2 linked regions of the Danio rerio genome follow. The protein of the gene in region 1 interacts with the protein of each later gene in a pairwise test. Links are inferred from orthologs where the notes say so. Each region holds a gene or a part of one and is shown in the gene's direction. Other genes may lie near its edges. The genes, in order: rtn3 and ptpn9a.

The links.
Region 2: the proteins of rtn3 (region 1) and ptpn9a interact in binary tests that used the Homo sapiens proteins (3 or more experiments, as listed by UniProt). The two-hybrid records come from large-scale screens. The link is inferred for Danio rerio from reciprocal best matches to the Homo sapiens genes RTN3 and PTPN9.

Annotation. Positions count from the first base shown.
Region 1 is NC_133182.1:17,715,843-17,719,670, forward strand, and holds part of rtn3 (reticulon-3), read left to right. Parts: intron 1-1,804; coding exon 1,805-1,943; intron 1,944-2,068; coding exon 2,069-2,138; intron 2,139-2,240; coding exon 2,241-2,287; intron 2,288-3,828. UniProt on the Homo sapiens protein: May be involved in membrane trafficking in the early secretory pathway. Inhibits BACE1 activity and amyloid precursor protein processing. May induce caspase-8 cascade and apoptosis.
Region 2 is NC_133200.1:7,155,170-7,159,733, reverse strand, and holds the start of ptpn9a (tyrosine-protein phosphatase non-receptor type 9), read left to right. Parts: upstream 1-1,583; 5' UTR 1,584-2,081; coding exon 2,082-2,117; intron 2,118-4,564. UniProt on the Homo sapiens protein: Protein-tyrosine phosphatase that could participate in the transfer of hydrophobic ligands or in functions of the Golgi apparatus.

The DNA of each region.
Region 1 (3,828 bases):
CGCTGACTGCTGGAGCTCAGACGCGCGCATACACTGCAGCTCATGCCAGAGTGTGTGTGTGGTCACGTGATGTGCGTTTTCAGCGGTATAGTGTGGACCGAGATCTGTTCAGAAAAGCTAGGCGATCGTTTTTGTTGTAAAATGGCATTTTAAAAGACGTATTAGTGTAAACGGCGTCTTAAGTGTGTGTTGTCACTTGTGGTTTGCTGCTGTGACGGGGGTGAGGTGGAGGATTGCGATGCAGGCTTAGCATCGTGATGTCTATTGGCCATCAGCGATGGACAATAGCATCATCTATCGACCCACCCCTACTGTGAACTGACATAAAGAAAAATAGTATTTTAATTAATTAACTAACATTTAAATGCGGTTACAAGTTTTGGTTGTTGTTGGTTCTTGTTAGCTATTGCTAACTAATGTCAGGCTAATAGTAATGAATTGGACCCCATGTAGAGGGTGTTCATGGATCTATAAAATTTCTCAAATTCCATAATATAAAAATAAGATCCGTGTTTCAAAGGTCTTAATGCAGTCGAACCAACCCTGTAGAGAAGATTTTATTTCCGTTTTGAAATCTACTTTAATCTCTACGTCTATCATCACATGGGCAGAACCAAATTCCATGTGGTACCCCAAAAAAAAAAAAAAACACGCATATAGGGACTACGCTTGTGTATTTAATGTTTGCTGGGATTTTGCTTGTGTAAACAGAGTTCTTGGGGATTTCACTTTATAATAGCTTTTAACAGGGGTCACCAATCTCGGTCCAGGAAGGCCGGTGTCCCTGCAGGTTTTAGCTCTAACTTGCCTCAATACACCTGCCTGGGTGTTTTAAGTATATCTAGTAAGACCTTGATTAGCTTGTTCAGGTGTGTTTGATTAGGGTTGGAGCTAAAATCTGCAGGACACCGGCCCTCCAGGAACAAGTTTGGTGACCCCTGGATTATAACATCTGCGTCAACCCCAAACATTAACAAATGAAGAACTGGAGAAGCATCTTTTGATGAAAATGTAATTTAAGCCATATTAAACTCTTTTATTATTATTATTATTATTATTATTATTATTTCAAGCTATTTTTAAAATGATTGCTTGTGATTAAATTATGGTAAACATCATTCTTAATCGTTTACAAGATCAAACAATTTAATTTTGAAATAATAAATAATAAAAATCTATACATATAAAATATTGTTATGTTTCATTTAATAATAGGCATACATTATTGACATTGGAAAATTGTGTTAATGCAGTTTTTGGGAACTGATATAAAATTTTATTATGATTTTTAAAATTACTATTAATAATATTGTTTTGAGGTTTTTACACGTTACATGTGTAATTAACAGAGTTAAAGGTTGTCATAAGTTGTGTTGCAGGCTTTTTTTTTTGTGCAAATTTTGGTATATAAAATTAGTGTGAAATATCATTCTGTCATATTAAAGATGTCTTAATCATAAACATAACTCTCAGAAATCTGCAGATACCCTTTTATAAAGTCTTAACTACTTAATTTTATTCGGCCTTCATACATATTGCATTACATTAAAATAATAAATGTGTATGCATACAATATTTTATATATATTAACATGCTTATGCTTGGTCTGCGTTTGTCTATGTTTATTAAGACCAAACACTAAACAGAAATAAATTATGTTTTATCTTAAGCATCTGTGTGGTGTGTGATGCGCTGTTCTGTGTTAATAATGGTAGATGTTGAGTGCAGTGGTGTTCAGAGGTGTGTGTATGTGTGTGAATGCACTGTCAGAGCTAATTGTCTTTGACCCGTGTTCCTGTAACAGGGCTCTGATGGACAAAGATGTCACAGTGCCACCCGAGACTTTCCGCAAGCACGTGGATGGGTGTCTGAGCCATGTCAACCGCGCGCTCAAGCAGATGAGCCGCCTCTTCCTGGTCGAGGATCTGGTGGATTCCCTCAAGGTCAGATTTATAGGAAGAACTCTGAGGATTTAGGTTATTCCAAATCTGTTATATTACAGTGTAGGTTTTTGTGTGAAAAGGAGAGGATTTCTGTTCAGTTGACTCATGTTTTCATCTGCTTTCAGCTGGCAGTTGTTATGTGGCTGCTGACGTATGTTGGTGCTGTTTTCAATGGCATCACCATCCTCATCCTCGGTAGGCTTTCACGTTTGGGTTTAAGTTAGTAAGATTGCACTTCCGAATAATAAAGAAGGATAATAATTGCCTCACACTGGGTGTTTCCTTTTTGTTTTTCAGCCGACATCCTGCTCTTCAGTGTACCGCCCATCTATGAGAAAAACAAGGTCAGATATATGTTTGTTTCTGAAACTCTGCACCATTTTTTGTTCGGGTTGGGGTGAAGGGCAGATAAGAGATTGAAAATTAAATAAATAACAATTTATTATTATTGAAAATAAAAATATAAATAATTCAGGATGAAGTTTGGGGTCAGTCCGGTCAAGTTTTATTGTCATTCCTCTACATGTGGACATAAAAATGGAATGAAATGTTGTGTCTCAGGGGACCACGGTGCTATATAAATAAACATAAACATAATCATAAATATAAGCACAACACTGGAAGAGTTATTTTTAAACCTATACATAACTAACATACCAGAGCGGTAATCTAATTATACATGTACTATACATATGCTATAAATATGAACTATTTATATACATAGATTACACATATACTGTATATATGTCAGCAGTGGCGTAGCGCAAAATGTGACTAATATGACTACTACTACAGGGTGTCCGCGGTGTCTTAATGGCTTAAATTCCCTGAAATAGTATTGTAAACGAGTCTTAATTTTCCTTTGTCTATTTAAAGCTACACAATCGTTACTATCAACAATTTAGCCATTTGGTTTAATTATCTTTCTTACAAGAACATTTGTGAATGTGTTTGGAAAATATGTTTTTACATTTTAATGCAAACACATATTAAGTAAAAAATATATAATTATGTAAGTGAAAATATTTTCCACTAGCCATTAGAAAAAAACCTCTCTTTTTCTAAAATTTCATTTATAATGGACTTGAAAAGGTCTTAAATGCTTTAATTTGTCTTGGTGAAACCTGCAGAAACACTGTACTAATGGTGTTGGTGATAATACTTACTTGAAATTTGAAGTACCAAGGCATTTGCTTTTTTGTGCATATTTTTGCATACTGCTTTGTTATTTTTTATATTATTATTATTAATAATATTATTAGCTGTATTTCAACTAAGTAGTATTAGTTGTTGTACTCGTAGCAGTAGTGGTTGTCATAGTAATTGTCGTAATAGTAGTCGTAATAATCAGCCGTAGTAGTAGTCGTTATAGTTGTAGTCGTCATCGTTGTCATAGTAGTCTTCGACATTGTAGTCATAATAGTCGTAGTAGTGGTCATAGTTGTAGTAGTCATCATAGTCATAGTAGTCATCATAGTAGTAGTAGTAGTAATCTTCATAGTTGTGGTCGTCATAGTCATTATAGTAGTCGTAGTAGTAGTCGTCATAGTCGTAGCAGTTGTTGTCATAGTCCTAGTCATTACAGTAGTAGTCACCATAGTCGTCATACTAGTCGTCGTAGTAGTAGTTGTGATAATAGTAGTCAGCATAGTTGTTGTAGTAATCATCGTCACAGTCGTAGCAGTTGTCATCATAGTCCTAGTCGTCATTGTAGTAGTCGCCCTAGTCATCATCGTAGTTGTCATGGTAGTAGTTGTCATAGTAGTAGTCATAATAGTCGTAGTAGTATTCATCATAGTCTAAGTCGTCATAGTAGTAGTAGTCGTTATAGTAAAAGTCGTTGTAGTAGTCGCCATAATTGTTGTCATAGTCGTAGTAGTCGTCA
Region 2 (4,564 bases), on another chromosome or scaffold:
CCCCAACGTGTGATTGTGTGTTGATCTAAATGATGTTTAGTTTCTAGAACCGAGTTGTGCTTTACATATGAAATGCTGGCCTCATCAAAATCTCCTCAGCCTGAATGTCAAAACACCACGTTTTTTTTTAGCAAGACAAACTGTGCAAGAGGTCACAGTGATGGAGCTATTGTTGATCTGAAACCACAAGGTCGTTTCCTCACAGAAAAACCAAAGCGTAATCGGAGAGTTTGGTTATTAGTCAGTCTCTGCTTTCCAGGAACCCACGGCACCTGTCAACCCAGATCAGCCTTCCCGGATCCCCTCATGAGCAGCTCGGCTCTAAAAGCACCGAGTAAAGCCTGTCAACCAATAAAAAACGTCAGCAGCCGAGGCTATTCGCACGACATGCTTTTTATGTGTAGATTAAGGCTATGAGTGAAAGCGAAAGCACTTGTGAGCGCTTTTCCAGCATGATGTCATCACGATCTCCTGTCAGTCATTCCGGAAACACGCCCACAGGAAGCTCTTTGTTTTTATCGGCTCGGTTTCTTGGCATGTTTTCTTGCGTCAGCTCACTGAGACTTTAATTCGCCTTAAACATAAATGCTAGATGGAAACTTTCATTTAACAGAACTGACATTAAATATAGATACTTAAGAGGTTCTGTAAAACTACTAATTAATTTTCTTCCAAATATAAAATAAATATTACATTTTGTTTAGCATAAGATAAAATAAAAAAGTTTTAGACAATGTTAGATTAATTTTTAGAGAAACAATCAATTATATCTGGATGCAGCCTTTATGATGCAAGCTGAGATTGCATCACTTAGCGATGCAATGTCAGACACAATGCACTCAAATGGAGTGAGGGATTCCACTGTGATGGGTAGGGTTAGGGGTGGGGTTAGGTAAGCCCATTAAAAAGCATTGGATGCAGCTCAGATTGCACTGCACCAGGACTGCATCCAGACCCCTCGAAACAATACCAAAGTTTAACATCTTATGAGTAAATAAATCAGTATTTGGCTAGTGTACTTTTATTTTAAATCGCAACAAATTAGGATTTTTGATATTTTTGACCAATTATCAAACAAGTAAATCACAATATTATTTATTTAAAGTATGAACGAAATGTAATTAGACTCCAATTAATTAAATTGAATATAGTAAAGTAAACTTATGCGCTAGTTTGTCTGTAATCACACACACTAGATATGAACCTAGAAAATATTAAAGTAATTTACATAACTAAGTAAATGTGTTCATTTGTGTGAATGACGTTCGAGTCTCGAATGAATCATTCCTGTAATATTTCTGCGATTCACAAATCACTCGGCTCACTTGGAATCATAACAAGGAATCGTTTGATTTATACACTCATTACAGCTAATACGACAGTATATGGATGAGAAGTGATCATAAAAATGACATAACTTGCCGCATAGGAACTGCGAACTAGGAACGCCTTTAACTAGTAAACAAGTTACTTAAAAGTGCCGTTCAAACGAACCGATACACTGCATTGACTCGGCCTCCAGAGGTTTTTATGAATGGAGAGGAGGAGCGTGGTTCAGCCTGCAGTTCTCCATTTTGTCCAACAGGGGGAGCGTCATCTTTCATCTTTCACTGCTTCTTTTCAGGAGCGTCCGATCTTCATTCGCGTTCTCACGTTATCACTTCTTTAATCGGCGGCCGAATGACGCGGAACTGGTCGTTTAAGATTATTACACATCTCCAAACAATCTAACAAGCCTTCGACGAGATTCAACAGAGCACCGTGATGAAATTCTCCCTTCGTCACGCAGGCGGACGGACCGAAGCTCCGCTGGAAAGCCATTAGTGTTTATGTGTGTAAATACAATATATCATAGACTGTAAAAACCCGGAGCGAATCATGAACGCGCCGCTCGTGCCGTGCTGAAGTGGCGGCCGCGCGCGCTCTCTGTCGAGCTGAAAAACGGCGCGAGTCCTGCTTCTGTTGTTAGCCTGAACACTGCTAACGGGCCTAAAAGAGCCCGGTGTGATCTCTGCAGTCCGGTTGAACAGCTGTCCGAGCTCCAGGAAGGTCCTCCAGCGGTGCAGAGCGCCGGAGAGTGGATGATGGCCGACCGCCTGAGCGCTGAGGAGGAGCAGGTATCAAATACCATCACAATCCGGTTCACATTGATTCTCTGGTCCAGCGGTTCTGTTGCTAAGCAACCCGGGACTGACCATTTGACTAGAGACACCCTGTTTGGGTTTTACCACGGTAAACAGAGTAAAAGGTAGAATTTTAGCCTGTGGGTCATATTTGATTCCATATAATTGTCCTAAAAATGTAAATGTAGTGGCTATTTACTGTCCCTCAAGTGGTGTCAAGTCTTTTTGAGATACTTGATTCTGTTGAACTCAAAAGGAGATATTTTGAAGAAAGTTGATAACCTCTAATTATTAACGGTCTTGGCTGAAAAACAAATACAATGGAAGTTAATGGTTACAGGTTTCCAGCTTTCTTCAGAATATCTTCTTTTATATTTTAACAAAAATGGTTGAGTAAATGATGACAGAATTGTAATTTTTAGGTGTACTATCCTTTTTATTTTACACTATTAAATAAAAGTTGGTTGACAGTTCGCCAAAAAAGGAAAACTGTTATGCTTTACTCATCCTCCACTTGTTCCAAAATTTTTCATAGTTTCTTCCAACATTCATCAGAATATCTTCTTTTGTGTTTGACAGAATCACTTGAGTATGAGTAAATGATGAGGACATTTTCATTTTTGGGTGGACTATCTCTTTAATAATTATAACATATTTAACAACAAAGATTTCAATAATCCTGAATGTAAATAGTGTTGTCAGTAATTTAAGCATATTGAAATACATTTTGAAATATGCATACTTTGAAAAATAAAATAAATCTGCGCGCACAGATTTTTATCCCATAATTGATTCTGTTCATTCACTTGTGTAAATGTGTGTAAACTTATATTTATTCAGTTTTTAAATTAGTTTCAGTAATTTTATTGACTAAAATGAAAATATTCAAATAATTTGTTTACAATACAGTGTGTAAAGTAATATGTTCTGTCTTTTAGTAGAGATATTATATGAAAGAATTGTTTTGTTCACCAAATAAAGAGGATCTAATTGGAACTGCATTGTAAACATTAAATAAAAGTTAAAAATGTATTCATATATTAAGGTTTTAGTTATACTCTCAAAATCATTCATCATAAATCCGCAGATCTTTACCAAAATTCTGCGCAGAGATAGCAAAAAATGTCCGCAGATTCCGTCTGGCCCTTATGATTCAAAGATATAAATGTAGATTTGCATTTGTGAGCAAACATCTATTGCAACTTTGGCATTTCTCTCAGAACTGTGGCTTGTGACTTTCTCAGAACTGTGTATCTTGAAGGTTCGACATAAAAAGTCTGATTTGCGGTCTACCAGATGCAGACTCAGGATTGTTACAAATAAATCCAGGGTTTCTGAGAAATCAAGTTCGAGTTGTGAGATGCAAACTCAGAAGTGCAAGATATGAACTTGGAATTGGGACACATATACACACAGAACTGCAAGAAACAAAGTCTGAATGGTGATAAATTAAGTCAGGACTAATAAAGTCAGCATTGAGAGCAAAAGTAAGAGCCTAAAACTTGCATTTCAATAGCTATTTCAATCCTGAATTGAAACTATTCTTAACTTCAACTTTTTATGAAACATTTTCGATAATGTTAGCTTGTGTAATACATATTTTATTGCAATAAATCTTTGTATTTTTAAAATTACATCAGATTTATTAATAAATTATTCAAGTTTTAGGCGGTTCATTTTGTTGTGGCGACCCCGGATTAATAAAGGGACTAAGCTGAAAAGAAAATGAATGAATGAATATTTAAGTTTTTAGTGTTTTGAGGGAATTAGTGTACTCTGACCTACAGTAACCTCTGATCAGCTATTTTAGAGGTTACTGTAGGTCAAACTATGCGCCTAATTTGACTTTACTTTCAGGCTATATGTAAATAAAAGCTCGTATTTTACAAGAAAAGTGTCTTGTGAACACATATGGTGTCTATCAGGGCTTTAGATCTGCCACTTTCAGACTGTTGAGCGAATTTGTTCTCACTTAAAATGATTTGGTGTGATTATGCATTCATAATGGTTTGAACCGTTATAGGGGTGGTCAAATGTATATTTATATTGTCTATTATATTAATTAATAATTTAATTATTTAAGATACAGATATTTAGAGATATGAAAACAATTTCTCACTATTGAAAGGCTGTTGACATTCAGGGCTGATCTTGCATTAAGCATTAATTAATACTGTAATTCGTACCCTGCCTATAAACTCTCAATGTACATATTTTAACTTAAGACTGACAACCTTAATCGTCTTTAATTTACTCATCACTGTTATGGAGGTCTGAGAATGCCTGTTTTTTTACATAAAATTTAAGTAATGCAGTTGCGTTCAGATTATGAGTCTTTTTAATGCATCTGTGCGAATGTTGTCTGTATGTATGCAAAGTTTGTTTTAGTAGAACATTTGTAGAATGCTGCGGAGGGTCTGTACAGCTATGAATTGACAATT